Linked DNA regions of Struthio camelus. The protein of the gene in region 4 interacts with the protein of the main gene of each other region in a biochemical or structural test. Links are inferred from orthologs where the notes say so. Each region holds a gene or a part of one and is shown on either strand. Other genes may lie near its edges. The genes, in order: RAB8A, RAB31, RAB5A and OCRL.

Region 1 (7,579 bases), on a different chromosome or scaffold from region 4:
AGACAACAATGAATACAATGTTTACATTTTGAAAAGTCTAATTTGAAATAAATTAAAGCAGTGAGGTTTCTGGGGCTGGTGGCGGTGGCATATTCAGTGTATCAGTTCTCAAGCACCTTATAGAAAATGACAATTGCCGCTTTGGAAGTGGAAGTCTGACTTTAGCCTCTGTTACTAAACATGGTAATACAGCTGTTTATAATGTTAAGAGTATGTTATTCTATAGCCAAGTTAACCATTCCTAAACGGTCCCAAACATCAGCAAACTGCAATTTTATAAAACACTCCAGAGGTTTTTGGATTTTCAACTTTTGAAATGAAGATTTTTTTTTTTCTTTAACGATTAAGAGCACAACACTGAACGCTTACAATTAGAGCAAGGGGCTCTAATTTATGATCTCAACTTTTTTTTGTAAGCTTCATTTACGACTGTGGCATTCATAAGAGATCACAGAAGCCAATAACACTTCACAGGTAGTGCACATTATTTTGTTAGGTATAGAAATCAATAACCACTAACTCTGAACCATTTTCTTCACTGGAAGAACAGGTTTTCTACCAGCAGAATAACAGACTGAGCCTACAGTTTTTTCCAGCTGAGGCACACATACATCAAAAGGAATAAAAACTATTTTAACATTCGTACAGAAGATTTCACTGCTGAGACCAAAATAACAAGGATAAAGATTAAATCCAAGAAGGAACACCATCATACTTTAGTGAGCTTTCAGAAGTGGTAGATCAATCTTACTGGCTGGAACTTCAAAATTAGCACTTTAGTCCTCCTAAGGCAGCTATAACATAGACTCCTGCCACAAAAGCAGCAAGTCAGACACACGAGCCACACTTGGCAACCGTCTTGGCAGTAAGTAAGGAACTTTACGGGCTTTAAAGAGACTGAGGGATTTAGGAAGTATTCAGTTCCAAGCACTGACTTCAGCCCCTGGGCAGAGACAGGATGAAGCCAGGCGATGGCACTTACCTTCTCCCCTTGCTCTCTAGAGACTTGTCTTTTGTCATTTGCATCACACTTATTTCCAAGAATCATTTTTTCAACATCTGGGGAGGCATGCTGACATAGAAACAGACAAAAGAAAGTACTTCAGCTTAGTATTTGTCTACAAAAAAACATCAGAAAGGTGAAGCATACATCAAGTACTGAAAACAAAGGTGCTGATGCAAAGAATTTTCCATAGATTTAAGAGTTTCCCCCAAACACCCCATCCCAACAGTTTTCTTCAGACACTCACAGCTCAGGGCCTGCCTGCATAAAGGCAGCTCTTTAGGTCACTTGCGGTGGCAGGAAAACATCTCTCAATCGCTAGAAAGGCTACAGTCCATACAACGTGCTCTCACGTGCAATGAATTACTATGAACCGAGACATTCTAAAAGATATTACCAATTTTCTTGCAATATGTTTTCCACATTTACTCTACAGTACATAAATTAGAAAGAAACATAACAATGCTGAAGCATTTAACTTTTAACTACTTCTAGAATGGGGATAGCATTTTTAATACTGAGTCAATAAACAGAAATTACCTCTTCAATATTCCTGACCCAGTTCCGAATATTTTCAAAAGATTTTTCATTGGTGATGTCATAGACTAGCATAATGCCCTAAAGATAAAAACAAAACACCTTATTTCAGCTAGTGCCAGTTTAAGCAAAAGTTAAAGACTTTTCCATGACAAAGAAACTTAACAAAGACTATTTAAAAAGAAATAGTTCCAAGTTACACATAACATTTAATCACAATTTGTGTCTTATTAGATAAGGTGTACTAAATGTATATTTATACAGTGAGTCACAATGGAAATCTGACTTTGTAGGTCCCCACATTGTCTCAGTACAGCTTCAACACCATTAGCGCTGAGGAACAGGAGTGCAAGTTGTCAAGTGTTTACCCAGCTAGAGTTCATATGCTGAAACACAGGCGGTTACATACGCTCCCCATTAAAACACAGCTGGTTTGATGTTGAAAACTAAGGTGTCTGTTGAACGCTCAGCGTGACCTGCCCCGCTCCTACCATTGCTCCCCGGTAGTACGCTGTCGTGATGGTTCGGAATCGCTCCTGCCCAGCCGTGTCCCTGAAACAGACCAGAACACAGGGGCTCATGCAACCCAGCGAAGCTATTGCGCTGAAATTAGAGCTTTCAGAAACTTTAATTAAATATTTTTAATCAGTTTTTAGAAGCACTGAAACAACAGTTGTGGTTTCTAAGATACTGTAAGCTACTGAAGAGCACAACTAGATTGAAAACGTAATGATAATATCACTACTCCACACCATACTGATGCCGGGTTATAAGAAATTAATTCATGTAACGTTAGAAGAAAAGGCTTACCATATCTGTAGTTTAATTCGCTTGCCGTCTAGCTCTATAGTTCTAATTTTAAAATCAATACCTGAAAAGAGAAGTAACTAAGTTACTCTTAGTTTCTGCTGAAGACCAAGCTAACTTTTCCCCTCTCGTTTCCCTGGTGAGGTTTGCACTGGCAGAACACCCTTCCAGGTAGCTAACGAAGCAAAGCGCGAGGTTTTACAGTCGCTCACGCTAGACAACGGCCTCTGCAGAGCGAAGGAGAGCGATCTGAGCCGCAGCAGCCACAAGCAAAGCGCCTGCCCGGATCCCCGCAGGGCCGGGGGGAGCGAACGAACAGTGAGGCACGTTCGCAACCGGCGCCGAGGCAAGGCCGGCGCAACCGAGCTCCACCGCAACCGCTGAACGAGGCGCTGCGCGCCGAGCCGCTAAAGCCGCCCGAGGCGGCAGCGAAACCGCCCTCCCCGCCGCCGCCGCCGCCGCGCAGCCCCCCAGCGCGCGAGCCGCCGGCACGGGGCAGCGCTGAAGCAGCGGCGACCGGCCCCGGCCCCGGCCCCGGCCCGGCGCGCACCGATGGTGGAGATGAAGGTGGCGTTGAAGGCATCCTCGGAGAAGCGGAAGAGCGCGCAGGTCTTGCCCACGCCCGAGTCGCCGATGAGCAGCAGCTTGAACAGGTAGTCGTACGTCTTCGCCATCTTCCCGGCGCCGCCCCTCCGGCGACCCCCGCCCCCGCGCGCCTCACAGGCCGAGCCCGCCGGCCATCACCGCCCGCCGCGCGCCCATTGGCCGAGCCCAGCGGCGCGTCGCCGCAGGGCCCGCCTCCCCGGCCGCCGAGCAGGAAGAGAACGGAGCCGGCGCCCCATTGGCCGGCGAGCCGCGCTCCGTGTGTAACCGGCCGCGCCATTGGCCGCTCGCCTCGCCGCCCGTGCCCGGCGAGACGCCACTTCCGGCGGCGGACGGAAGTCGCGTGCGGCTAGGTGGCGGTATGACGTTTTGCTGACATCACGCCCAGCCGCTGCGCGCGCGGGGAAGCGCGACGGCGCTACGGACAGAGCAGGGGACACGGCGGGTCGGGGTGAAGCTGTTTAATATGAAAACGTCAGGAACAGTCGCGTTCGCGGGTAATACTGCTGGGATACCACCTACACTGATCCACATAAAAAAGCGGCGGGGCCAGCGCCGAGCCGGCGGAGACGGGGCAGGAGGGTCGCGCGCGGGCTCGTCGCTCGCCTTCCTGCATGCTGCAGTTTAATAAATACAGAGCTGGGTCTCCGCCGCCCCGGCCCTACAGCGGCGCGGCTGCGGCCGCGGTACGCCCAGGGCGCTGACCTGAACGCTTTGGGCACTGCTCATAACTTAATTTTCTTTTTTTTTTTCTAAGATACAGAGAAAGAGAGGAATGAAACGGTAAATACAGATACATGTTTAAGTTTCTGTTGGCGGCTGAGCGTTCTTCTCAATTTCATATACAGTTTAGTTCATTTAACGTCTGATCCAGTGTCTGATGCAACCCCAAATTCTCTTCTTTTGCCTGAGCAAGTTTTTCTAGGGAGAAAGGAGAGAAAACAAGACTTTAAACACACATTTTACTGCCTTTTCTCTTTCAATAAATAACCTCATTACTCACCTTTACTTTTAAGAGAACACTATAATTGCATCAAAGAAATTTGGGACTGATAATTATTTTTGTAATGGCTCTCGTTTAAAGGGTTTCTGGATGGGTCTGATATGTAATGCGACAGACTTGTATTTTAGTTTAACACGCGATGTACAGGACATGTCCTTCAGAGTTTCCATCGTTCTGAGAATTTTAAACCAGGCAGGTGAAACAACACGCAAAGTGAGAGCTAGCTCAAAGCTTTTTCATCTTTGGGAATACGAAAACTGAGGCCTTTGCCAGGCCACCAGGTTCTGTCCCGGCCATCAGGGGTGCCGAGACTGACCAAGCTCTTCAGCGCTGCGCAGGGTGCGCGTGGCCTGTTGCTCCCATGGCTGGTCCTGCACCACGGTCACTGTCCCGCCTGTGCTGACTGTGGGGGCCTGGCCCTGGCATGAGCAGCTAAATGTACTTTCAGTGTCATTACTGATGTATTTTACGTGAATCATGAGGAAAAAAACCCAGAAAGCTTAAAGGTAGAGGTAACTCGTTTTTATTGAAATCAGATCTTACAGAGAAGGCTGAAGGATCGCACTTAGAAGTTGCACAGAAGCGACAGGTCTTACAGGCAAGAAGAGCTTAAGAAATGCAGCGAGTCAAAGCCCCCCAGTAGGTGCAAATTACAGAGAGGTCATATCATTGAGAGCATGATCGAGCTCCTCACTGATAGCTTTGTACTTCAGCTTCTGAGCGTACAGCTCATCTATCAGGCACGAAGGCAGAAGGCAAGTTGCAGCAAGAGATGCAGAAAAGCAGTCCAGAGGAAGAGGCGTATAGCAGAAGATGCGAAGACAGCCAGAATGCAGCGAACCAAGTAATTGAGGGGGGAAGTAGAAGAAGAAAACAGATATGTAGTCAAACATTAGTGTGAAAGCAAAAAAAATATACACAGCTGCCAGGTCAGAAGCTTCATCTACATTTCCCCCCCTCTGCCAAGAATTGTTTTTCAGGCATCAGATTAAATGAGATTATGATTCTTGTTAAGTAGAAAGGCCCCTTTGAGCACACACATTTGTGAGTTGGCTAAAGGCAGGTTATTGGTAGCAACTTTTGAAGAGAACCTCTTTCAGGAAAATTCCCTCTGGGCAGGAAGTACCCGGCTGGACAGACATACGGATCACCAATTGTCTCACGCTGCTCTGGCTATACATCTGATTAATATTTTTGTCCTTTCCCAATAAAATATAATACTTATTCCTAGAATGTTGCTTTCTGAGCTAAAATGAAGACCTGTAAAATCATGATCAGTAATTTCATACCTTCCAGGTCATCAATAGACTTTTCCAGTTTTGCAACTGTTCTCTCCGCAAATTCAGCACGTGTTTCAGCCTAACAAACAAACAAATAAATAAATAGAATAAATGGATGCTGTTAAAAAAAGGCTGCCAAAGCACAGTTTGGGGATGGATAATCTTACTTCTTTAAGCTTGTCAGACAGAAGCTTGATTTCTTCTTCGTATTTATCTTCTTTTTCCGAGTACTGTGAAAACAATAAACACGCTCTTTAAGGGAAGTTGTAGCAGCAATAATGTTTATGAAAAACCTGACCTATTAATAACCACTTTTCCGTTTATGATAGCTGCAAACACCCTTCCCATATTTTTCTCCTCTTCACCAAGACTTCTCAAACTGATTCATATACCATCGTTTTAAGACTGAGGCTGTCCAAAGTTCCTTTACGTATCTATTTTAGTCCTTAACAGGCTTACTTTATTAGGCAGCACAAAAATAGCTGAATGTGCAAGAAATCATCAACTTTTCTATACCAATTAGGGCTAGCTGGAAACAACTGTTTAATGAAAGCAGGAGTTTTAGCAATTTGCCTTATTAAGAAGGCAAGCAACCAATACAAGATTCTTAACAAGATAACAAAATCAAGAACAGTCAGCTGCCTAGTAATGTGGGAAACAGAGTCAAATCCTGATTTGCAGGAAGCAATATTGCAGATAATTACCAGATTACTGAGTATTTTGGTTTTGGGCAGAACTGATACAACGTTATCAATACTCGCTGTTACACAAGCGGTCAAACTAAACCCTTAAATTTTTTTGTACTTCTGGATTATTTCTGTGAATTTTAATGACAAGTTTTGACTTCCCCCCACCATCCCTTAGCTCACTGAAAGAAGCAACCTTTTCAGATTGGGCTTCCAGGGACTTCAGGTTGTTAGTGACATTCTTTAATTCCTCTTCAAGGTCACTACATTTACTACGGGGGAAAAAAAAAGTACAAGTTACCACTGTCACTGTTATGACTTTGTTTAATTTTCAAAAGGTCTAAAAATACAGGTTATTAAGTAAATAAGTCTAAAAGCAGTGAGTTTGTTTATGGGACACCAAAAGCTTTTCCAAGTATCCTACATGGCTGCCTTTTAGCAGTAGATCTGCCTAATGAAATACAACTTTAACCTTACATTGTCGAAGAATAAATGACACTTTTAAAGCTCAGTGTTGCACACTCCTCTGTGTTAAGAAATGTCTTAAAACAGTAAGAAACGTATAGGCTTGCACTGCACTGCAGCTGACTTTCGGTACAAGAGCCATTCTGTTTTGTACCACCTTGGACACTGTAGGAGACCCGATGCTAATGTTAGAAGAGCATGTTTAATAAACCTACAAGTAAGGAAAGTTACTCTTGAAGCTGAAGTATTAGCAACTTCCCCCTCAACATTTTTCATGAAAAAGATCCAAATGGGCCATTATGTTTCTCCATAATGCTGGCAGCCTTTGAAATGAAACTACTAAATGGTTGGACACTGTACTGATACTGTTAAACAAGCGAAACCCCTGAAAAATACCATGGATATTTGTGTTATGAAAACAATCCTCACATAGTAAGGAGAACTTTATTGTACTCTAAACTACACCCATGTATGCGAAACTACTCACACTTCTGACACTTCTGCACGCTCTTCAGCTCTTTCCAGTTCACCTTCCAAAATAACCAGTTTACGAGCAACCTGTAAAGAGAAAATAACTATATCAAGCCAACTGATAACTTGTTATGTCTCCCTCAAAGCGCTATGCCTATGCTTGCCTTCTGACTGATGTAAACTAGAATAAAATATACAGCTCTGCACATACAAGACAGGGACTTTTTCCCAAAAGAACTTTAAATACCTATTAAATACGTAAGATTAAATATGTAAATACGCAAGTGCTATAGTCACTATTAGAATTACACCTTTTGGAAATATTGCAAAGTCAAACCATCACATAGTAGAAAGTATAAAAAGAAGAACTAAACTGAACAGTAACAAAGTTGTTCATAGTTCTCTCATATGTTTTATCATTTCCTTATTAAAGCATCCCTTTCACCTCTTCATATTTGCGGTCAGCTTCTTCAGCAATATGCTTAGCCTCCTTCAGTTGCATCTCCTGAATCTCCATTTTTTCTTCGTCTTTCATTGCTCTGTTCTCAATAACCTTCATTCCTCTGCAGAAGTCAAAACAAATATGTTTAACACAGAAGCTTTTTATCACTTTATCTCAAAGGTCCTAAAGGGGACTCCAGTATTGGTAACTGAAAAGTGACCCCATTAGGACCAATCCAAACTATCGTGTTCTGCAAGGCTAATAGGAATACAGGAAAATTCA
Region 2 (7,427 bases), on a different chromosome or scaffold from region 4:
AAACTTACAAACCTCATGTCTATCCCCTTGTTGTGCACTACTCGAGGCTGCTCCAAATTTCTCTCAAGTTACTTCTGAGGAGGAAAAAGTGAAACGTGGATGCCCAAATCCCAGTTTTGATAGATTTATGTTCAGAACTATGGGCCAGGTTCTCTCTTCTGCTACAGCATGACCTGGGCAATGCGTGGGAGACAACCAAGAGCCAATAACTTATTCTCCATCTCTATCGCAATGGCTCCGGGCCAAGTGCTGGCCCTGAAGTACTAGACTAGTTTATAAGAGCTGTTTTATGGGTTAGTAGAAAAGTGGCAGCATGGAGCACAGCTCTGGTTTCTCCATTCCCCTCTCTCCTCACCCTCCCAATGAGACCTTGTACAGCTGAGCAAGGCTCCGGGGCTTGTGGAGAAGGTGGCTTTGCCAGTGTTACGCCAGCTGCAAATTCTTCCCCACTAGGGAATTCTGAGCTGGTAGAAACAGACACGTTCCAGGCCCTTTGCACAGCTGAGGGCTGTAGATTGTCAGGGGAACTGATACAGAACGGAACTGTGATCCTCCTAACTGATTTAGGGATGCAATCTAAGGCTCTGTTGAGAAGAGAAGAGATACATAGGTTAGAATCCAATTTAATGCTTCCTGTCCGACAAGGAATTCATCTCAGGACTTGGGCGTGTCAGACTTTACTGATTACTAGGGGAACTATTAGACACAATACAGATTAACTTGCCCTGTTGCACAGATCTAGGGAACTATGTCCAGGACCTACTGAAAAGATAAGTATTAAGATTCCTTTGGATAGATCTGAAAACATATTTTAGGGTTGCCATGTAACTTCTAGGCAGATCAGAAGATTAATGGTTGCACTTGTTCACACAGAGAGGTACACAGTTGCCCTGTTTTGGAAAGCTGAAGCTTACAAGTGATTTGTCTATTATGGACCCTGCCGTTTTGGGAAAACAGAACGCCAGCCTCCATGGTAGGATGTCTATGATCACAAGTAGACGGTTCTCCAGGATTATAGCCTATTAAAACTCAGGAAGGAACGGCTTCTCACCAACTACAGACACTTGTATCTTCCTAAATGTTTCCACTGCCACCCTATCATTTTAAAGAATCTACTGAGTAATGGCATACTCCAAGTAACACAGAGCTGCTTTCTGGGCTTCTCTTCCTGTCTTAAAACAAGTAAACAATTCCCCTGCAAAACCTCCAGTACTTTTCAATGTTACAAAACAGCAATAAATTATGGGCAAGAGGAATGTCATTCCACAAGACATTTCATCTCTAGAACATTACGGGATTTTCTCCTTGGGGAAAAAAATAAAGGCGCATCCACATACTCTACCACAGACTCCTCAGGTTTGTTTAAACCACATTTATTTTGTCTCTGTGCCATTTTAAAAGCTGAAGGCAGGAATTCTTACTGAGAAAGGATGAACGTTCATTGCCAAATACTTCGGGTTGAACTCTTCAGTGTCCTGGCACCACGTCCTGGCTCTTACTCCAGGGCAAAGTACCCACTCCTGCTGGGGTAAGTGTCAGCACACAGCACAGGGAACTGGAGTGTCTATATTTGTTTGGTTTTTAAATCTGCAATCCAGTTATACTCCATGAGTGAGAATTTACTCTAGAACACCTTCAATCACACAGCTTTTCTGAAACTTAATGGCAATATGGGCCTAAAAGCTGTGTAACTTATGCCTGGTCTATTTGATACATTTGATAAATGGCATGCCCTGCTAGTAACTATCAAAAGATCTGGATCTGTATGGGGCTCTCCTAGCAGTACTTGTAACAATTCCATGAGCACATTTTGATGTGAAGTTCCCTCTGAGCAGGGCAAAGACGGGGGCAGGCGGAGCCAAACTGCAAAGCTAAGCACATTGTTGCTCCAGATGTTAAACGCACATAACGATTACACCCAAAAAGGGAAAGAACAAAAATAATGAGCTCGCTGAACCAAGCTTTAACGAACGCAGGCAAGTAACCAAACCAAGCACACAGCAGATAACTTGAGGCGTATGAGAGAAGACAGGAGGAATCATCTCTTCGCACAGACACGGAGTTATGATTGCTGCTTTCCCTTCTTTTCCATCTCCCACCACGCCAGCCTTGGTTCAGCTAAGCCGGCAGGACAAGTGACAGAAACTTCAAGTCTCCCGCAAAGAGGAGGCGGGAGTGAGAAGATCGAAAAACCCTTCGGGGCTCCGACACGGGAGGGAGGCGGCCCGCTGGGGGCGGGGGGGAGGGCGGCAGGCTCGGCCGCGGCTCCCCCCGACGCTACCATCTCCCCGCTCCCCGCGGCGTGCGCGCCCGCGGGGAGACGGCGACCCAGCCCGTCCTGCAAAAGTTCCCCCCCCCCAAAAAAAAAACCCCACCCCCAAAAACTACAAAGCAAAACAAGCAAACAAAGACACCCAAACCCTCACACCCACCCCGCTGCCGGAGGCCGGCGCGCTGCCTCTGCCAAGTCTCGGCGCGGAGGAATTCACCGCGGCGACGGGCGGCCCCGGCCCCGACCCCGGGCCGCCGCCGTCAGCCCCGACGCCGGCGGGGCAGAGCCGCGGGCCGGGCAGGCGCTGCGCCCGGCGGAAGGGAGAGGCGGGCGCCTCCGTGGGGAAGCGCGGTGGGGCGCGGAGCCGCTTCCTCTTTCCAGCGCGGCGCCCCCCCCCCCGCCTCCCCTTCTCCCGCAGCCCTTCACCGCGGAGGGATGGGGGTAGAGGAGGCAGAGGAAAGGGGAAGCCTCCCGGCCCGGCGCCGCCATCCGCCGCAAGCAGGGCGGCCCCGCCGCGGCGGGGAACGGGGCGCGACCCTCCGCGGCCCCTTCCCCGCCCGCTACTCACTCCAAGCAGACACACTTTCAGCTCGCGTATCGCCATCATCTGCGTGGGGCCGAGCCGCTCCGCATCCCCCGCCGCGCCGCGCCTCTCCGCTCCGCACTGCCCCGCCGGGGCCGCCCCCGGAGCCCGAGCCCGAGCCCGAGCCGCCGCCGGTCACATGCGCGCGGCCGCCGCCGCGGCCCCGCCTCGCCGCCGCGCTTCCCGCCCGCCAGCGGCCCGCGGGCGGTTCCCGGCGGGGCGCGCGCGCGAGGGCCGCGCGGCGGCCGTTGGGCTCGCGGCGGCCGTTGGGCGCGCGGCTCCCGCCCGCCCGCCCGCTCACTCGTTGAAGTGACACGAAGGTGGCACCAGGCCGGGGCGCCGCGTGGCTGCGGCCCCGGGTGGGTTTGGTCAGCCACGCTGGGGCCCCGGGGTGAAGGAAGGTTGGTGGGTTCAGGTGGCTTCTTGGCATCAGGAGTGAAGGGGCTCATTCCCGAGTGGGTCAGGGAGCGGCCCCCCAGCTCTGAACCGCCCCTTAAAACGGGGCAGCCGAGCCGGTTGGTGACCGGGGAGGTACGGTGTAAATACCTGCCGCTGTGAGAAAAATAATTGGTGAGGTCCGCACCCGGCATGGGACTACACGTCTGCTTAGTCCTACACACCAAGTGCTGGTCGAGATGTGGGATCTGAACTGTTTCGCTTGTGAACAATCTGAATCGATCTTAACTTTTTTTTTTTTTTGACTTTATATGTGCAGTAAGCATTTCTGTACCTAAAAGAGTAACTCTGCTTTTATGCAATCCCGGTACGAAATAGCTGCATTTAATTAAAATATCCACTCTAGGGTTGACAATAGGGCTGTATCCCACACATAAAGAAATCTGGTAAATAGTGCATTACCACTAACTTCAGGACCTGTCCACTGAAATCAGTGAGAGGGATTATAAACCGCTCCAGCTTTTCTCTGCTCTCTGTAGCCAGAGTCCTAGCGTTTATGGAGAACGGTTGCATGTTATAATCTTGAAAAAGCAGAAAAGAAGAGTCTGTCATGTATTTTAAGTCCATCCATTCTACTCATGGTTGGTTTTGGTTTTTTTTTTTTTGGCTAATTTATCATTTTAAACAGGTAGAATTGCTAAAGGATGATTACGGCAAACGTGATTAGTCATTATGAAATTACTGCCACGTCACAGGAGCTTCCTGACAATAAACTCTTGTGGCGTTCATTATGTCATTAATTAGTTCCACATTATGTCCTACGCTCACATTGACAGGCCAGAGGAGAACGCGTGCACTCTTCCAACTCTCCCCAACCCTAGGCCAAGGAAATGCTTGGAACAGAGCAGTTCCTATCCCCAAGGAGGAAAACACAAAAGCATTTTTAGTGGAGCGTCACAGCTTGTCAGAAGAGAGTATCAGAAGATAGAGATAAAAGGAGAGGCTCATCAGAGAGATGCTTGGCATTTAATTAAGTGGGGTTTTTTGGAGAATTTAGAGAAACAACAATCACAGGTTTCCAATATTCTGCAATATTGGCAGAATATTGCTAGAATTCTGTCTTCTCATTGTCTTTCCACAAGAATGGATTATACAATAAAGTCTTTCAATAAGCAAAGAGGATACACTCACTAACATGGGACAATTACAGCCTTGCAGTCATAACACAACTAATTCAAAGCAACTCCAAATTTTAGCCGGGAATTACTTCTACAGTGGACAGGAGGTGCAAAGTTTTAAGGCTTTACACTATCCAATTCCATCTTCTCTTTCATTTTTAAGGCTGAGTTAAATGTTGTTCCTGTGACCTTGATTCAAACTTTTCCAGTGTTGAAGGACTACGATTCACAGCCGGTATTACAGTTCAGGATCATCTTTTGCATAAATTAATTATTGATTTTTTTAAAAAACATTTCTATGTCCTTCAAATATCCCTTTGGTTCTCTAATCTCACCTTTTCTTTGCTCCAGATTTTGCAATTTTGAACTTTAGGAATTTTTGCTTGTTGTATAGAAATGAAATGCTATACCAAGTGAACTAATTTCAGTAAGAAACGCTTGAATGCTGTTATGCTAGGCTGAGGATTACAAGAAGAGACTGATAGAGGAGCGCTGTGTTCAAAGCTGCTCAGTGTCACAAGTACAGCTGGAGGGTTTGTCTGTAGCTGCACTCAGATTAAGCTACAATGATGTAATGGTGCTTTATTCCTAAATGGTATCCATACATACAGCAGCTTAATGTACTTCATTATATGTTGCATTGACTTTACAGCCTTAGTTGAGGGGCCTTAACTTTCCCATGCATCTCCATGCACAAACACGCAATAAAAGTTCCGATTCTGGAAAGCACTTGCTTAAGCCTGTCCATTTTCAAGATAGTGTCACATCCCACTAACTTCAACGCACGTCAGGACGTGCTGAATTGCTGTCTTGATTCAGTACCAGCGTAATACAAAATAATGCCTGAGAAATCTGTCGAGGAAAGCAAGTCATATTTCACATTTCCATATTTCTTCTTATCTGTGGAAACTTTTCCTAAAATATGCATGATGAAACAGCAGTCATCACTAAAAGCACTGCAAGTACATACCTCAGAAGCTTACTTCTGAAGACAGCAGATCCTCAAGCAGCTAGTTACAAGCAATCAAATTGCTTAGAACAGTAACATGAAGGTGACCCAGTGTAAACTGCTCAGGCTTGAACAGCAGGAGGGCTAGTATCAAGAAAGGGCAATTTTACTTGTACAGACAAAAAGTCTGATGGGCTGGAAGGAAAAACACCAGAAGGAAAAATAACTCGTTGTACTGGCCTAAAACAGAGAGGCCCTAAAAAAACCCACAAAAATTAGAAAAAAGTGAGAAAAACAATACAAACAGACATATGCTCAAGTATTTTAAAAAAAGCTAATGACGTTCCTTCTTCCAGGAATTGGCATAATCCTTGTATTTGTCTGCATGCAAGAAGCTGTGGTCAGGAAAACATTTTTGAGGAATTTGTCATGTTTCAGTGTTTTCACATGTCTGGTTAAAAGCAAATGAAAACAACCCTTTGCATCCTAAAGGTTTTCTTTTTTTCCTTTTATAGCAACTGAATTAATAAATATAAGTTTTGAAACGACGTCTCACCTCACCTCTTTTTACCCTGTATTTCGCTTTTGGGTATTTCCAAGCAGTTCCACTTTTCAGTAGCAGTCCCTCAGGACTTTCAAGTAATTCACTCTCTCCTCAGAAATCATTTGCTTCAGTTTTCAAAAACTGCAGGAACCAAATCATCCTTTAGTTTATTCTAATTTTATAAGAGTGCAGCTTCACCAATTTCAAACTTCAAAATAAGAGTGATTACTCCTAATCTACCCTTAGTGTGAGAGATTTAGGTCCTCAGAGTCGGGCTTCAGCCACCAAGATGTGATCTGGTCAAGGTGTTCTGACTATGATATTTGGAAAGTTTATTCAGGCCTGTCTCCATCATGAAATTCAAAGTAGTCCTACTTGCCATGGGAGAATAGCATTGAGGAATCCTTCACTTTGATTTCCTGTTCTGGAAAACCTGCTGGAGCAGGACTATCCTCTCACTCACCCTAGGTCTGTAAGTGTAACACTGCTGATTTCCTTTGAATAGGCCCAGCAAACTGCACTAGAAAGGAAGGAAAACAGCCTTCTGGTTAGAGGCACAAGACCAGGAGGCACAAGATCAGGAAAACTGATGCCTCCAACATGGCCTTGCTATGTAACCTCAGGCTAGGTACTTTACTAAGCTCTGTCTCACCATGTGGTTTTGCAACAGTTTCTGGAAATTGAAGCTGGGGCTGCTGCCATCCCGTCCTTTGTCCCTAGCCACATGTTCCTGCCCCTCTGGGGCTCGTGTTGGCAGAAAATGTAATCCTACATTAAAAAGTTTCCTACGCCCTCTGTCTCTTCCTCTCTGAAAGAAGTGTAACGGTATTTATCTAGCCCATATGGTAGGCAAATGGGATACTTGTGAGGTGCTGGCGGGGTTCCCAGGCTTAGGAAGCATCTGCCTTCTTCCACCTGCTTTCTCTCTTTGGTGAGCGACATACGCCGAGCTAGATCCCGTCATGACCCTGGTGTGTGCTCAGCTCCCCAAACTGCTGCTGTCTGCCCCAAGTACCTGATGAGTTACTTCCTTTCTCTCACTGCTGCTTTCCCTCTGGATTTCTTGGCAAGCATCTTCCTCGCACAAAAATGTTATCCCTCCTCCTCAGCTCAGCCCAGGCCCTCCTACTGCGGGCCGCCAGCCATCCCAGTTCTTATTCCCAATGTACGGAAGGAGGCAAGTTAACCCCTCGCTGCCGGCAGAGAAACATGCGTGTGCCTCCCTCAAGGACATGAACGTGCAGCACAGTCATGACTGCTACGACAGAAATTTCACTGGGGTCTGCCCAAGGAACTGCCAAAATCTCTTGAAAGGAAGGCAGCTGCCACTGAGCAAGCAGTTCGCAGGGCAGGAAGAGCAGCTTCTGGCTCAGGCTCTGTACCATGTGCAAAATGCACTGGTTACAAAATGGCTAAATTTCTGGAAGATGTTCTTTTCTGTTTGTTTGTTTATTTAACTATTCAGAAGGTTAGAAAAAGGCTGCCCATGTCCCTGCCCAGGGACA
Region 3 (7,928 bases), on a different chromosome or scaffold from region 4:
ATTCACCGATCTTTGATATCAGACCATAAGTTATGGGTGAGTGATGCTATTTTATGGTCATCAATGCACTAGCAAATTTATGCAGTAATTAAACCAAACAGTTACCATATTCACTACAGAAGGATTTAAATAAGAACTACCAGACATTTAAATAAAGGAAGAATATTGTTAATAGGATTCCAAGATGTATTTATTTTTAACTCTTGGCTTTTGCTTCATCCAGGCAAGGAAAAACAATAGAATTTTTTATTAATTCTATAAATTAGTGTCACATGATTGTAAGATACCAAACTAAATAAAATAAAATCTAGTTTATTTTGATCCTCAATAATGCTGTATTTCTCCAATATATAAGGATCAGTAAAATGACTCAAAGCATAGTTTTATTTATATTAGCTAATGAAATAACAAAAGTTAAACTCCATTTTGGAACAAAGATCAAGCCCTTCTGGAATCAAATTGACTTCGGCATGAATTTGTCATCTCCTATGGAATTCCAGAGAACTGTTTTGTGAAAAGGTTAAAAAAAAATTCTTTTTACAGCAGTACTTTGTAGCTAAACAGTGTTTGTCATCTGAAAGTTACTACTGTCTGCTGAAGCCCCATTGCCACAAGATAGTGCCTTTTTCTGTTTTTCACAGGCTAAAACTGAGGAATGGAAACTGCCTAAAATCCTGCATTTCACTTTCTTTATGAAGCACAAAAATTCCATGTTCAGCAACACAGTTCTCATTCTGACTAGGAGGATGGTTATAGACAGCAGTCAAAGCACTCAGTGAGTTTGTAAATTCCTCAAAGCCTCTGAAGAGAATTTGACATAAAATGCTGCAAGTGTTATGAAACTCCTGAACAACATTAGCCCTGCTGATAGGCTTTGGTGTTGTCATTGCTTGGTTACTTTCAGGTTTTGTATTCAACTTACTTATTTAAGGATAGAAAATGGTTGTTCTTTGTGTGCTGCACACACTCTATGTATTATGATATGACAAAACCAAAGGATATTTAAAGAAAACATACACAAATAGAGATAGGAGAAAGACAGAAAGGATGAAATTAGAACAGATGGACACATGAAAGAAATTAGGGAGGTAAAACTAAGAAGAAAATTCAAACAGGATAAAGAGATTCTGCACATCCCCCAAAGCCAACTTCCATTTATTATAATACATCTAGGGGCTAGACTTTAACACAGAAAGATCGAACAGAACATGCTATTAAACTCTTGGGAGAAATGCTGAAATAGATGGAAATTCATTTGGTGAAGTTATGACCCAGTAACATCAAAATTTTTTTGTTAATGTCATCCAAAGCAAAATTTTACTCCTGCTATTTTAACAATGATGTGTGACCCAAGATTATATAACATATGAAAATATGATCCCTGGAATGGCTGTCCTGGTGACTTCAGACTTTTTTCTTAATGGTTATTTGCCTAGGCTACAACACAAGAAACTCATCTTCACTGCTAGTGTTCCTGGACTTGTCAATTCCAAAATACTGTGAATGAAATTCAACTCGTTTGATTACGGCCTCATGCTCTCCAGTCCTGCATTGCAGTTAGGAAATTAATTACCCAGCAGAAAACTTACGCTTGTTATATACACACACTTTCTAGCAGCACATACCTCATACCTCTACTGATAAACGATCTGATGTCTCAGGGTGCATCCACCACATGATCCAATGCATGGAGTGTCTATATAGTTACAGACAAAAAGAGTATGAGATTTGCATTCATCCTAGCAGTTTCAGCACAGAAACGTACTGCAACTTATCTCAAGTCCACTCAAAGAGTAGGCTTGAAAAGAAAAATTCTCTAACCTCTCATCATGGAAAAGTAAAAGATTCGTTATCCCTTTCTCCCCTCTTTTCTTCTATTAGTATAATTATATCATATGAATGTAATTCCTGCATCAAAAAATCCATTCAGCCTTAAACCTCAGATGCATTTACTAATGTGCAAGATTATTCTGAATTTAGAAAGCATTTATACTGTTTATATTAAAAGAACATCTGATCCTTTTACATGCTGCATTGTGGTTCTTCTCTGAACAGTGCTACATTTTGTTTTATATTTTTGCCCATTCCTCTTCTACTTCTTCCTTTCCAAAGTGTGTAAACTGTGTGGTTTCAGATTCCACACCCTAATGCCATGTTGATAGGTTACTGCCAAATAAATGGTCCTTAGCTCTTTTTCTTCTCTAAACTCATATTCGTTTGCTCTCATCTGCATCAGATCTAGTCAGCCTGCAGCCACAGATGAGTTGGCTCAGCCAACTGATACAGGAGAAAATTATTTAATTTGGCGAATTATTTTTCCATGAAATCAGTGGTTGATCCAACTCGTTCTGTAGCCACAGGCTCCCATGAGGTACAAGCTTGCAGCTGGGAACGGAAAGGAACTAGGACCACACTTTCGAGGGGTACCTCTTCATTTGATTGGATTAAGTGAAATGTCAAACACCACATGAGCACTTGATCTCCAAACTGAATTTGAGTTCAACCTGTCCTAAAGAGTCACAGTGTAAAATTCACATTTTTTCCATCCAAAACTGTTTACGTAAATGGTGAAAAATGTCTCTGTTTATCAGGGTTCTGATGTTTTGATCAGCAAATCCTGCAGTCCAGCGGAATTTACTGAAAAGTCAGAAGGTTAGTGTGAAAACAGTGCATTAAGTTAGGATTGCATCATTTAAACAGGACCTGTGATAGAGATTCTAAAGGCAGTCCTAACCATAAACTTCAGGCTCAGAAACCTTGCATGCTTTCAAACACATTTCCTTGGAGGAAGTTCTTTGTAATAAAAGTGGGGAGTCTAGCATTTTATATCACTGGTGGACTCAGAATCTCTATTTTTCTTTTTCTTGTTGTTCTTATACACTGGCCTTACAAAAAGCTTAGGTTTTACTTAAGGCAGTGAAGGAGCGTGATGAAATTTTTACTATCAGGATGCAATCATTCAACTAACGCACAAGGAAAAGGAGAGTGGAAAATGAAAATAAAAGTTTATTTTTGCACTTGAGTAACTTCAAAAATATTGATATGCCCATACCAGGGAAGGGACAAAAAGACAAAAGGAGGAAACAAACACAGCAAAATGAGATTTGTTTATTTCCTTCTCAGACTACAGTCCCATCAGCCACAGTATTTTACAAGCAGTTAGGTGTTTTTAAGGCAGCACTAAAGAGCAGAGATAATAAAAGGCTGCGACATGATTAATTTAAGCTTTCTGTTTTCAGCATACTTCTAAAGTAGCAGCAACAACAGCAGAAGAATCCTGCACGGACAGAAAGACTAACTGGACAACTAACATTAAAGTTCTATATTTTAAGGTGATAATGAACCACTACCATAATGGGCCTTTAGCTCCAATATAACCCGGGCCATAGGCTTTTCCTAATTTAATTTTTGCTCCAACTTAATATGTGGTTGAACAAAAGCATATTTTGAGAGGACAGCAACATACAATCCTGATTTAACATTTTCTGTGATTGAGAGTCTAAACAATCTTTATTAAATTGTACCAATGATTAAATACCATAACTGATAAAGTTACTAAACTTCTTTCCAGTTCTGCTTTGGCTTGCTCTAAATGCCAACCGTTACACCTTATTAAACCTGCAAGATTAGGGAAACACTTATTATACCTGTTTCATTTCCTATGGAACCTGTTTATAATCTGTGACCAAGTGTCCCTTACTCTTCTCTTTCATGGGATCAGTAGATTGGGCTCTTTTTATCTTTCACAGTGAGGGAAGTTTTCCATTCTTCTTATCATTCATATAAGCCTTTTCTGAATTCTCTCTCACTTTTCAACATCCTTCCTCAGTTACAGAGATCAAAAAGGCAGGCAGGATTACAGCACGCTTCTCACAATACACCAGCAATACAGAACAAAAGTCATACATGTACTGCCATCTCCAGCATGAGATGTATGATCCAATATTTGCATGTATTGAGACGTACTATTTGCATCTACCTATCCAGCAATAAAGACACTTCTCCATTGGTAACCTATTCTCTTCAGTTTTAGCACTCTCCCAGTATTGATCGTATCCCAAAACTTCATCCCATAAACTTCATTTATTAAAGAAAAATGTTAAGCAGCTGTCCAATTGTATTCGGGATTTTTTCTATGTACTTCCTTCCCTCAACTCATTTGGCTTAGGGCTTTGGTCCTTTTAAAGCACCCAACTGGGAGTTTGCAGGGAATCCAGTTCACAGCCCTGGCACCTCAGTGGCCACATCATGCTGCACTGTGCTTGCTGTTTCTCGCAGAGAGGCATTCAGGAAGCCTAGCTGTTCTCAAGAGACTCTTTCCCTCAGACTTACAAGAGCAGGACGTAAGCCATTCCCTGCAAATCGAGGGCCCAACTTCCGCCACGCCTGACAAGCCCTCTTCGTTCAGCCACTAACGGCTCCCTCACGCCTTGCCCGACCACTAAACACAAACGTATTTACTTGGGGAAAACGACGCCTTATTTGAGCGCAGCAAGGGGGGAGGAGGGGGCGATCACCTCCCTGGGCTCCACCTCCGGGAGGACGAGGACGACACGGCGCCTGGGTGTCGCTGCTCGCGGCGGCCGCCACCACGGCCCCGCTCGGGCAGGCGCCGGGGCCGCCCTCAGCGAGGCCGGTGGGGTGGAGAAAGCGCCACAACCGCCGCGTCGCTGCCGAGGCACCGGCCGTTGGCGGGGCAGAGGGGAGCCCTCCTCGCGCCTCTCCCGTGGGCCCCCGCGCGGGCTGGCACGCGGCGGCCGTGGCGGGGGGCCCCGCGCGGGCGGTCGCAGCCCCGCGGCGTTGCCCCGGTAACGGCCCAGACGCGGGGCGGGGGGAGAACGGGACGGAAAACGAAAGGGGCGGCGGGAGGAAACGAAACGCAGGGGAGGGCGGGAGCGGCCACGTGACGCGCGGGCGAACCGGAAGCGCATGCCGCGTGCGGGCCGTGACGTGGCCGCGGCGGCGGCCGCGGCGGAAGTGCGTGTGTGTTTTGGTCCGGGCCGAGGAGGCGGCGGAAGCTGGCGGCGGCGCGGGCGAGGCACGGCAGCGCCCCCGCCCCGAGCCCCCGAGCCTCCCCTTCCCTCCCCGGGCCTGGCTCGTCCTCCCGCCCTGCCGGAGAGACAGAGAGAGACGCCGCCGCCGCCCGGCTCCCCTCCCTTCCCCCTCCCGCGCGCGGCCGCCGCGGCCCGGCCAGGTGAGGAGGCGGCGGCGGGGCTCGCGGGGCGGGGGGCCCGCTGGCGGGGCGGCGGGGCCGGCGCGGCCCCCGGGGTACGGGCCGTCGCTCCTAGCCCTCTGCTTCCTCCGCCGCAGCTGCCGGCGGCCGCCTGCGTGCGCGCCGCCTCCGGGCGGTGCGGGAGCGTTGGGCCGCGGCGTGGGCTGCCGCGGTGGGCAGCCCGGCGGGCGGAGGGGGGAGGCCGGTCTGGCTTTTCCCGTCTCAAAATGGCGCTCCCGGTTCTCCCACTTCCCCTTATTCCCCTGCCTGCGGCTGGAAGGAAGCGGCGGGGGAGGGAAGGCGGCGGCGGGCATTGGAGGAGCTGGGCTGGGGATCCCGTTGAGAAGGGGGGGAGTGGGGATCCTCCCTGCCTGCGGCCTCTGCTGCGGTGAGTTACCGCTGCCTGGCCCTCCTGCAGGGGAAGGGGTGTATCTTTCGAGTTACCTGAGCGAAAGGAAAGGGGTGGATGGGTGACGGGTTCCTTTCTTTTGCCTGTGACCTGGAAAGGGACGCTGAAGAAGGTGGGAAGGAAAATACACTGGCCACACATCGCCATTCAGGGAATCTTGGATCAGGGATGGCAGGACCCCTGCTCCTTACCCCCCTCCCCCAATACAGGCCTAGTTTATATATGGTTCTACATAAGACTTGGTTGGGACGAGGAATAAAGCTATAGTATGGTGAAGAGACAAATCAATGCTCTCTTATCCTTTAGAGGAGAGTAGGGTAACCAAAAATTATCAAAATGGTGTTCAAAACAATAGGTCTATGACAGACAAAATTAGTCCCTCAGCATTTTCCTTTTTTTTTCCTTCTCTCTTTTTTTTAAACCTTTTACCTTTGTACCTTTTTTAGCTTTACCTTTTCTCAGCCTGGGAATGGAAAAGAGAGACTGAACAGTAACACTGAAATTAATCAGCTCGGTCCAAGTAACACTCGGAGCAAGTAAAAAGCATAACATACTTGATTCCCCACCCCCCATTTGGCAGTGAGTTCCTAGAGTTGCAGTAAGGGTAATTTACTCGTGCATATTTTTACCTTATGGAACGAAATGTCAAGACAACATGAATGTTAACTGAAATGAGGTGGTTAGAGACAGTAATTATACAGTCATCATTACCTGTCTTTCTGATATGATAAACTAGTTTATCTCAAAGCAGTGCATAATATACATCATTCATATGAACTTACGAGATAGCTATTATCTTTAATTGGAAGGCTGTGAATTTCCTGTACTGTTGATTCATGTGCTTAACATACTGTCTCATTATGTTTCAATATAAACTGACTTGCATATGACAAATGTTCTGATAGTTGTACCTGTCACTATCTTGAATACTACAGGACAATGCCACACTAATTTGGTCAACCTGAGAAGGGAATAACAAAAAATTGGCCAGTTAGGAGTGCCTACCACGTAAGTTTATTTAGATATTCCTATTTAAATTGTTCAGGATCATTCAGTATAAATAAACTTGAAGTAGGTAGTGGCTATAACTTCAGTGTTGTATGACTGTTTTCGACACTATCAACACTGAATTTCAAATACGGTCAGCCAGAGGCAGTCATTTATGAGTTACAATTTTCCAGTAATCTGAAACTTGAAAGCGTATTTGTGTCTAAAATGCTTCATCCCTGAATTGAGAAGCTATTTAGAGTCTGGTGGGGTGTTTTTTGGGTTTTGGGTTTTTTTAATTGATCTGAATTTTTTATTTCTGTTTCTGGTCACAAAGTATGACAAAGTTTGTAGAAATTATTACAATATTAAACAAGTATGTTCATGGTAAAAAAAAAAAAAAAAACCTTTGTCATTAACTATGAAGTACTAAAATATTTTAAGTGGTGCTGTATTCCAATTTAAAACTTACTATCATGAACTTCTCGTGTGGTCTTTGTATTTGACAATACAGAGTTCATTCATTGTAGGCTTAATCCCATTGGTAGGCTATATAGTCACTATTAATATTTTGATTCTTGTATATTAGCTTTCTTGCAGTTTCAAATAGGCACTAATTTGAACACTTACATGACTGAATAGATCAGATTTGTGACTTATCCCATTGAGTCGTGAGATGGAAATTATTTTCAGCCTCCAGCATGGGAAAATTCACGTGATGTTCTATTAAAATAGTTATGAAAACTTTCTCTTACGAATAAGACTTTACAAATACTATCTAGCAGCGTAAAAGTCCCTTTTCTAAAGGGATGATGAGAAGAGAATAAGCCCAGCATCTTGTAAATTACTTGATAGGATTAACAGGGGTACTTTCCTAATAATATGCCTTAAACTTTGTTCTGATATTTGCGCATGGACCTGCTAACATGCCGGGGGGTTACTCAAAAGAGTGAAGATTCCTACTTGGCAGAAGGACCCTTCGTGTTATTGTTGTAGTGACCAAGAATGCAAAATGGCCTTTACCTACTAGTATATGATAGTTCTCGCCTAATACTCCATGAAAGATTTTCTTACTTATTTTATTTTGATTTTGTGTCATTTCTATACGTATGAAGCCATCCATCTATGAAACTATGCATGATATATTGAGAACCTTCACAAATGGAAGTGTTTTCCTCAGCAGATCCTTATATAAGTAATGTCCTTACCTTACTTCCTTACATATACGTTTAAAAGCTTGATTCAGGCTGTATACTTGCTTTTTTGTAAATTAATGGAAACACCTTGCTAAGGTTTTATTTCTTCTGGTATTCAAAAATA
Region 4 (8,177 bases):
TCCTTATTTTCAGGAGAAGCTTTTGAGTGGGCTGGAAAAAAAATAGGCCTATCAGAAACTGCTCGTGATCTGAGGATTTCATAAACTCATCTTTAGGTCTGGTTACCTTCCTGTATGCTCTGTATTTCTGAAAGGAAGCCCAAGCAACGCTCCTCGTCAGGGATTTCAAAGAGCCGTTCAGCTGTCTTGTCACCTTGTATCCGGATCTTGCAACCTGCTTCAGGCATAAAAACAGACACAGAGACACAGTCAAGTCTGGTTCACAGACATTATGCCCTCACAATGACCAGGCTTACTAGGTATCCTTTAAGCTCATTAACGGAAGCGAACATCCACCTATGTTTTCCTATGCAAAGTTGCATCTAAGCTAGTCTTCCAGTGCTTCCAAGAGTCTGCCGCATTTGGAGGATCGTCGGTCATGTTTTCATGGTTTTAAGAATACTTTTCTGCCTGGCAGCAGGGGAGAGAAGAGTTCTAAAGGTAGTGAGAAAATTTCTTTAAAGGAGAGGCTGAAGCAGTGCCTAGACAGAGTAATGTCAAACACATATCTAAAAAGGCAGACAGTAAACTAGACTCAAGTTCAAGTCAAATGGAAGGGAAGGGATGGAAGGGAAATGAGAAAGGTTCAGAGGGCAGGGCAGGACCTTAGGGAAATACTTAAGAAGTTAAAGTTTAACAAATGGCAACTCCTCCATCCAGGCATTTAAACCATGTTTGTCATGACAACCGAATGCCTACAAGGAAGCATAAAAGAGCCAGACCACAGCATTACAGAAAATACAATCCATACCTAACCAAAAGACAAACACAAAGTATAGAAGAAGAGTATGAGATAGCAGACAAAAGAGGAAAAAGCATACATCTGTGACCCACGTCCAGCCTGTTTGCTGAAAGCTTTAGCCACGTGACTGTCTTGGTTATACAACTTACTGTTTGTTGCTATATCAATCAGTAGAGTTTCTTCTGCCTCTGGAAGAGAGAAAAATAGGATCAAGAGAGTTCACACTGAATGCTGGAGTAATTCAGTACCCAATAAAAAACACACTGCCTGCTTCTAGTCCTGACAAAGGAGCAAAGAGCTTTAATTTACATCTCTACAATAATAATGGCTCCAGCAGAGAGAACAGTCATATTTGGTCAGCCTGGACAGACATTCTCCACAAACAGAGTGTCACAGGCCAGAACTGTAACGCTCAGAGCTCTCATACATCTGGATGTTTTGTTCCACATCTGTAAAGTTACTCTGAAAAGCATCAGCCTGACATTTCTGCCTCAGAAGTCCCTCTGTATACACGAACAAAATTTTCTTCCCCTAAGACCCTATCAGTGAACTTCAGAGCTTGTCTATACAGCAAAAATTATGGGCAGAACTATGATGAATTATACAGAGGGCATAAACTTATGCAAAAAAAGGTGTTTTTATCCCTCCCAACTCTTGTCTTATGGAGAAGACAGACAGCTATCAGCAGCCATCAATTTTCAACCATTACAGACAAGTGCTGAAGGCACTGGCTCTGTGTGATGCCTACTTCACTGAGTCAGCCAAGCCCACCATTCATGCAAACTAGCCAAGTTCATCGCAGCTCTATGCTGAGATGGAAAGACTCCCCACTCAGATCTGGAAGAAGCAGGAGACCAAAAACTCTTAAGTGTTAGTTCCACAAGGAAGCCTTCAATCTACATGGCTGCTCAGGAGGCAGGTCTAGAAGCACCACACTGACCTCGCTCCGTTCTTGCTGATATACGGCAGTGGATTTCTGCCACAACAAGGTTAGAGGACCCACTGTAACAGTCAGTACCTTGTACACATTTAAAGCGGCTGTTGATGGGAATATAATCCGGATCAGCATACTCTTTCTCTTGTGAATGAATAATTATCCTGGAGACAGAAAGAAGGCTTGTGAAAAACCAAAGGAACCCCCTGCTTGTACACAGCAAAATGTTAATATTATAATGAGAGCTGTATTTATGGAGAAATGCAACGCATGATTTCTATTGCTATACTACTGGAACAGGAGAAGAGAAAGAGAGAAAAGCTCAGATCCATACAGGATGTGGGTGAAAATATATTTAGAGCATGCGGTGGGAACGCGAGCGCTTTTCAACTTTCACCGCTACAGGGCAGTTTTAGCTGTAGGGTGGCAGCAGCTCTAGCTGCTCAGGGAAGCCCAGAGAAGCAAGAGAGCAGACTGGGAACTGACAGCTAGAAAACAGAACTTCTCATCTGCCTGCCTGCAGGTTACTTTCTCCAAAGCCAGTGAGATAACTCCAGCAGAAGACATGACAGTCAGAATCTACTCTATTCCTAGGGCTTCTCTAAACATACAGGCGCCACAGCTTTAAGGTCTCTGACATAACCAAAGTGGCACAACCCCCTCCGGGACTGAGGCAAGCTCAGTAGAGGCTCAGAGAGCTGAGAGGCTCCAAAAAGGATGCAGAGAAGCAAGCTTTCTCAGAATAAAGCATTTGCATCCCCCAAAGCCCCGCAGGAGCAGCACTAGTGAACCAGGCCGAGCAACTAACATAAGAAATCGCATCTTTGGCCAGAACGAGCCGCAGCGGGGGTTTCTCTGCATCCGGAGATAACGACATACCACCGGCCGGGGACGGGACCTTCCCTCGAGCCCCGCCACCAGAAAGGTGGTCACGCACCTCAGCTCTTTCGGGCTCTTCCTCAAAGCACAACAACCGAGACCCCCCCCCCGCCCCCCGCCCCCGGCAGGGCCGGCCGGGGCCGCCTCCGCCCCTCGGCCGGGGCAGGTGCGCCACCCCACGGCCCCGCCGACTCCGCCCCGGCTCCCGGGCGGCGCGGCGGCGGGCCGCTGCCGAGGGCGGCGGCGGGAGGCCCGGCGGCGCGGTACTCACTCGTGGCGGCCCTGCCGCTGGCCCAGGCTCAGCACACACGCAGCCCGCCGCCCGGCGCGCACCTCCTGGCCGGCCACGCTCTGCGCCGCCGCTAAAGAAACCACCGCCGCCGCTCCCCGGCCCGGTCCGGGCCCTTCCCGCGGGCCGGCCCCGGCAGCTGCGGCGAAGCTCCAGGCCCCGGCGGGCGGCGGCTCCATGGCGGCGCCTCCCGGCCAGGCCCGCGGCGACCTCCGTCTCCCGGCGACTCGGCGCGGAGAGCGGGGCGGCAGCGCAGAGCGGCGCCGGCCTCGAGCGCCACCGCCCCCTGGCGGCGGGCGGAGCGCGCCGCGCCGCGCGGGGCTCGAGCCGAGGGGACCCCGCGCAGCGCTGGGGCGGCCGGGCGACCTCCCCCGCCTCGTTCACGGCCCACCCAGGGCCCCGCTGGCAACGCGGCTACCACCCAAGCATAAGAGAGGGCTTCCTCTAAGAAAGGCTCCTTTTAAGGGCTTCCCCCCCCCCCGCCTTCTCCCCCCGGCAAATTATCACGGTAGCTCCGCAGCCACGCGGGTCTGTGCCGTTTGGAGCCGCAGGCGACGGCCGCCGCCCTGCCGTGAGGGACAGGGCGCAAAGCGGCAACCGGCTTGGCAAAGCGGCAAGTAACAGTGGCCGGGATGCACAGCGGCAATAACAGGGTTTGGCTAAGGACGCTGGCAGCAGCGCTGACTGTGGCGGGTGAGCGCCCCGAGAGCTGACGCAAAGATATGAGCCCCCACCTGCGACCTCCCTGACCGGTGCTGGGGGTAAACCTGAATCGCTCGGGCGTTTTCTTGCCCTTTGCAGAAGGCCGGCAGTGCCGCGTCCCGTGGGAAGCTGGAGCTGCTGCAGTCTCCAAAAAAGGGCAGAGCGCCGGATGCTCACCCCAGCCCTGCAAGTCCGGCCCTACAGCCAGCCGGGCAGGGGCACTTGAGGGCCTCCGGCCTCCTGGGCCCTCTGATCTGCACGGCCACGTCTGTGCCAATGGCGGTTGTTACCTTTCCAAGAGGCAAAGCCGGGAGGGCCATCAGTTCAGGCACGTGTGAGCTGGGCTGAGCGCAGGCCCGTCCCTGGGAGCCAGATGGACTTACCCAGCAGCTCCTGAGCTTGGCACTTTGCAACCCAGCGCCTCAGCGTAAGCAGAAACCAGCAGGCTGGGGTGATGCACAGCACACCAGGGCTCACCCCGGCTCTGTCCTGGCTGCCAGCAGGCGGCAGAGAGCTCTACTCTGCTGGGGCAACTGAAGCACAGGACAACGGCATCATACATCTACAGCTGGGGCTCGTGCTGAGCCCATCTCAGGCCTCGTCGAAGGCAGGCTTCTTCCCAGCACAAACTGGAGGTCTCCTGCTGCCACAGACCACACTGGGCCAGGAGCTCCTGACCATTTCCTCTTCCAGACCTCTGTCCTGCCAGAATGGCAAGCTCACAGCCAATCCCCCCCCCCCCCCCAGCCCATTCCCCTGTGGCTGTCACAGGAGGAAGTCGAGGCCTTATTCGGTCTGACTCACGAGAAGGAAACCATCTCTGGCCACGTCGCTCCAGGAAGGAGAGAAAAAACTTACCAAGAAAGAGGAGTGCTGGGAGGACGTGGGGGCCAGCAGAGCAGCCCCCGAGGGCTGCAGGAGCCTCTCGCCAGCATGTGCACCGTTTAGCACTGCACACACCACAGGGCTGGGCAAGCTCAGATGGCCCACCGCTGGCACGAAGGCCTTTGGCAAGACACCCCCTTCCTTTCCCACTGCCTGATAACCCCGCAGTCCTGCTGTTTGGAGTGGGAATTGATAGCAATTGGCTCTTCTCCCATGGGGTTTCCAAAGCAAGGTGTAAACCTGCCGGACCCCCGCAGATGGGCATGTGCCACAAACTAACTGGTGGTTAGTCCTCTGCCCAGTCTTTCTGTAACAGCCTGTCTTGGTTCACATGCTCCCTTATAGGACAACTGATCCAGGATATCACGATCCGCGGGATTCACGTTTTGGCTGTGACTCCTGGAAACACCCTATATGTCATCTATAACAAACTAGAGATCCCTTATAGAGCCTAAGCCAGTTCCATCGTCCATAGTCTACCTCCATATGGGACTAAAAAGCAAGGGCCGGGGTTGCAAATGAAAGGGAGCTGGCTTGTATTCAAATGGAAACACCTATGTGGCTGCCAGAGCTGCCTGCAGAGATAAGAGTGGAAAGGGTGCTGGTGTTGGTGCTCAGGAGGCACCCCCTCCTCCCAGGTGCATGGCCCAGCGAGGGTGCCAGGCTGTGGGCACTGGGCCTCCGGCAGATCTGGGCACAGAGGGCAAGTGATGAGCGGCACTGAGTGGCTGCAGGGAACCAAAGCCTAGGCCAGGGCCTTCAGAGAAGCGCTGCTTTCCAGCAGTCCACACTGCATGACTGGTCCCATGCTGAGGACTCTAACTCCAGGCCAGCATCTCTTACCCTTCCAAGCCATGAGTGCTGTCTCCTGGCTGCAGAGCACCTACATGGTGGGGGCACTGCTGCCTGTCCCACTTGCTCTCTGAGCACCCCATGGAAAAGGAAACACTGCTTTGGTGTGCTCTGAGTTCAGCAGCAGCTTCAGATGCAGTTGAAGAGCCGGGAGCAGAGCTGCAGCTCCCTGGCTCGCCTGGCCTGTGCTGGACTCAGTGCACTCTGCTGGACCCCCCTCCATAGGGTCCAGCAAGACCATTCAGCCCCCATGGGGCCAGTGCTCCTGGAGTAACATGGCAACATCTCCCACTGTACAGAAAAAGCGCATGGGAAATGCTACTCCCTTGTCCCCACCATTGCTCCCAGGAAAGGCAGGAGGAAAGGAGAGCAGGAAGCTTCAGAGCCTTGTGCACCGGGGGTCTGTGCAGCCGGGCCTTGCCCTAGGAGCCCGATACTGCCAGGAGCGGGGGGAACTGACCCAGTGCAGCCCAGTCCCACCGTGGCCCAGCCCCTGTTGAGCCCAGCACCAGGACAGCGCAGCCCGAGACCGGCCCCGGCCCCGGCCCCGCCAGCCCCCGTCCTCTGGCCCCGGCCCCGCCCCCCCAAAACCACGTGGTGGCTGCGGGACTCGGCCGGCCGCAGCCCCGCCCCCGGACGCTGACTGGCTGCGCGGCCGTTCATTTGCATGCGGGGTGGGGGGGGGGGAAGGGAGCGCGGGGCAGGACGGGAAGGGCCGGCGTTTGAAGCGCGGGGCGGCAGCGGCGGGGCGCGCGCGCCATGGCGGAGCTGGAGCCTGGGCAGGAGGAGCGGTACCGGAGGTGAGGCGCGGCGCGGCCGGCCGGTCGCGCTCTGTGCGGGTGTCCAGGGCGGCGGTGGCGGGGCCCGGTGCCGCTTGGTGCCGGGGTCGAGCTGGGCGGGGCCGGGGGGAGGCGAGGAGGAGGCCGCGGCCGCGGGGGCGGCGGGGCCTGGTGGCACTTGGTGCCGGGGGCGAGCGGGGCTGGGGAAGGGGCCGGGGCCCCGGGGGCGGCGGCGGGCTCCGCGGGCGGCGGCGGGCTCCGCGCGGTGCCCATGGCGCTTCCCGCAGGCTGGTGAGCGGGGCGAAGGCGGCGGCGGGCGGCGGGGACCTGGAGGAGGCGCTGCGGTTGTTCCGGCTGGCGGCCGCGATCCGCCCCAGCGAGAAGCTGAGTGGCCGCATGCGGCGCGTGGAGGCGGCGCTGGCCGAGGCGGCAGCGGCGGAGGAGGATGGGGAGGAGGAGGAAGGCTTCGTGGACGTGTGCGGCAGCGGACTGCTGCTCTACGGGGAGATGCACGGGAAGCTCTTCCAGCACCAGCGGGAAGGTGTTGCTTTTCTGTACCGCCTGCACCGGGAGGGCAGGCCCGGTGGCATCCTGGCTGATGACATGGGCCTGGGCAAGACCATCCAGATCATCGCCTTCCTCTCAGGCATGTTTGATGCTGACCTTGTCCAGCATGTCCTGCTCATCATGCCCACCACGCTGGTCAGCAGCTGGCTGGCAGAGTTTGCTCGCTGGACCCCTGGCCTGCGCGTCAAGGAGTTCCACGGCACCAGCAAGGCAGAGCGCACCAGGAACCTGGAGAGGGTCCAGAGGAAGAATGGCATTGTTATCACAAGCTACCAGATGCTTATTAACAACTGGAAGCAGCTTGCCAGCAGCCATGAAGAGGAGTTTATCTGGGACTACATCATTCTTGATGAAGCGCATAAAATCAAGTGTCCATCAAACAAAACGACAAAATGTGTGTATGCTATTCCTGCTAAACATCGCCTCCTCCTCACGGGTACCCCAGTGCAAAACAACCTACGGGAAATGTGGTCCTTGTTTGACTTTGCATGCCAAGGCTCTCTCCTAGGAACAGCCAAAACATTTAAAATGGAATATGAGAACCCTATTACGAGGGCAAGGGAGAAGGATGCAACTCTGGGAGAGAAAGCACTGGGCCTTAAGATATCTGAGAATCTAATGACCATTATAAAGCCGTATTTCCTCAGAAGAACTAAAGAAGATATCAAAAAAAACTGCAATGCTGACAAACTGGATGCTCCTCTTCCTGAGGATCCAAGTGAAAATAGTGCTCCTGTCATGCCGTCTCTTACTAGGAAAAATGACTTTGTTGTGTGGGTGTATTTAGCACCAATACAAGAGGAAATCTACAGGAACTTTCTCTCTCTGGATCATTTGAAAGAAGTGCTGATGACTACCCGCTCACCTCTAGCTGAGTTGACTGTCTTGAAGAAGCTGTGTGACCACCCCAGGCTTCTGTCCGCAAGAGCATGTATCCAGCTGGGCTTAGAAGGACATGAATACTCTGAGCAGGATTACAGGAGTGAAACAGGTATACTTGCAGGAGCTAACAAAATAGATCATCTGTCTGAAGAGACTGTGATTCAGGAGTCTGGGAAAATGCTGTTCCTTGTAGGACTTCTAGAAAGGCTGCGAGATGAGGGACACAGAACTCTGGTATTCTCGCAGTCGAGGAAGATGCTAGATATCATAGAGCATGTTTTATCGCGCAGACAATTTAAGATCATGCGTATTGATGGAACAGTAACCCACTTAACAGAACGAGAGAAGCGCATTAGTGCATTTCAGAATGACAAAGACTACTCTGTCTTCTTGCTCACCACGCAAGTCGGCGGCGTTGGTATAACCTTAACCGCAGCTAGCCGAGTGGTGATCTTTGATCCCAGCTGGAATCCAGCTACAGATGCCCAGGCTGTGGACAGAGCTTATAGGATTGGGCAGAAAGAGAATGTAGTAATTTATAGACTGATTACCTGTGGCACCGTGGAAGAGAAAATATATAGGCGACAAGTATTCAAGGACTCATTAATAAGACAGACTACTGGTGAC

What was found.
Region 1: the proteins of OCRL (region 4) and RAB8A form a complex in vitro, tested with the Homo sapiens proteins (2 studies listed by BioGRID and IntAct, with this or other methods). The link is inferred for Struthio camelus from reciprocal best matches to the Homo sapiens genes OCRL and RAB8A.
Region 2: the proteins of OCRL (region 4) and RAB31 form a complex in vitro, tested with the Homo sapiens proteins (2 studies listed by BioGRID and IntAct, with this or other methods). The link is inferred for Struthio camelus from reciprocal best matches to the Homo sapiens genes OCRL and RAB31.
Region 3: the proteins of OCRL (region 4) and RAB5A form a complex in vitro, tested with the Homo sapiens proteins (2 studies listed by BioGRID and IntAct, with this or other methods). The link is inferred for Struthio camelus from reciprocal best matches to the Homo sapiens genes OCRL and RAB5A.

Annotation. Positions count from the first base shown.
Region 1 is NC_090967.1:5,168,144-5,175,722, reverse strand, and holds the start of RAB8A (ras-related protein Rab-8A), read right to left. Parts: upstream 3,102-7,579; 5' UTR 3,022-3,101; coding exon 2,898-3,021; intron 2,412-2,897; coding exon 2,351-2,411; intron 2,093-2,350; coding exon 2,032-2,092; intron 1,622-2,031; coding exon 1,544-1,621; intron 1,073-1,543; coding exon 983-1,072; intron 1-982. Other genes in the region: TPM4 (tropomyosin alpha-4 chain), read right to left, coding at 3,789-3,871, 5,243-5,312, 5,401-5,463, 6,116-6,191, 6,872-6,942, 7,301-7,418. UniProt on the Homo sapiens protein: The small GTPases Rab are key regulators of intracellular membrane trafficking, from the formation of transport vesicles to their fusion with membranes.
Region 2 is NC_090943.1:116,163,614-116,171,040, forward strand, and holds the start of RAB31 (ras-related protein Rab-31), read right to left. Parts: upstream 3,026-7,427; 5' UTR 2,880-3,025; coding exon 2,841-2,879; intron 1-2,840. UniProt on the Homo sapiens protein: The small GTPases Rab are key regulators of intracellular membrane trafficking, from the formation of transport vesicles to their fusion with membranes.
Region 3 is NC_090943.1:42,635,029-42,642,956, forward strand, and holds the start of RAB5A (ras-related protein Rab-5A), read left to right. Parts: upstream 1-4,551; 5' UTR 4,552-4,808; intron 4,809-4,910; exon of another isoform or gene 4,911-5,194; intron 5,195-6,067; exon of another isoform or gene 6,068-6,225; intron 6,226-6,556; 5' UTR 6,557-6,629; intron 6,630-7,928. UniProt on the Homo sapiens protein: The small GTPases Rab are key regulators of intracellular membrane trafficking, from the formation of transport vesicles to their fusion with membranes.
Region 4 is NC_090952.1:1,884,801-1,892,977, forward strand, and holds the start of OCRL (inositol polyphosphate 5-phosphatase OCRL), read right to left. Parts: upstream 3,100-8,177; 5' UTR 3,063-3,099; coding exon 2,866-3,062; intron 2,671-2,865; exon of another isoform or gene 2,653-2,670; intron 2,592-2,652; exon of another isoform or gene 2,577-2,591; coding exon of another isoform or gene 2,524-2,576; intron 1,880-2,523; coding exon 1,800-1,879; intron 970-1,799; coding exon 931-969; intron 218-930; coding exon 107-217; intron 32-106; coding exon 1-31. Other genes in the region: ERCC6L (DNA excision repair protein ERCC-6-like), read left to right, coding at 6,082-6,122, 6,389-8,177. UniProt on the Homo sapiens protein: Catalyzes the hydrolysis of the 5-position phosphate of phosphatidylinositol 4,5-bisphosphate (PtdIns(4,5)P2) and phosphatidylinositol-3,4,5-bisphosphate (PtdIns(3,4,5)P3), with the greatest catalytic activity towards PtdIns(4,5)P2.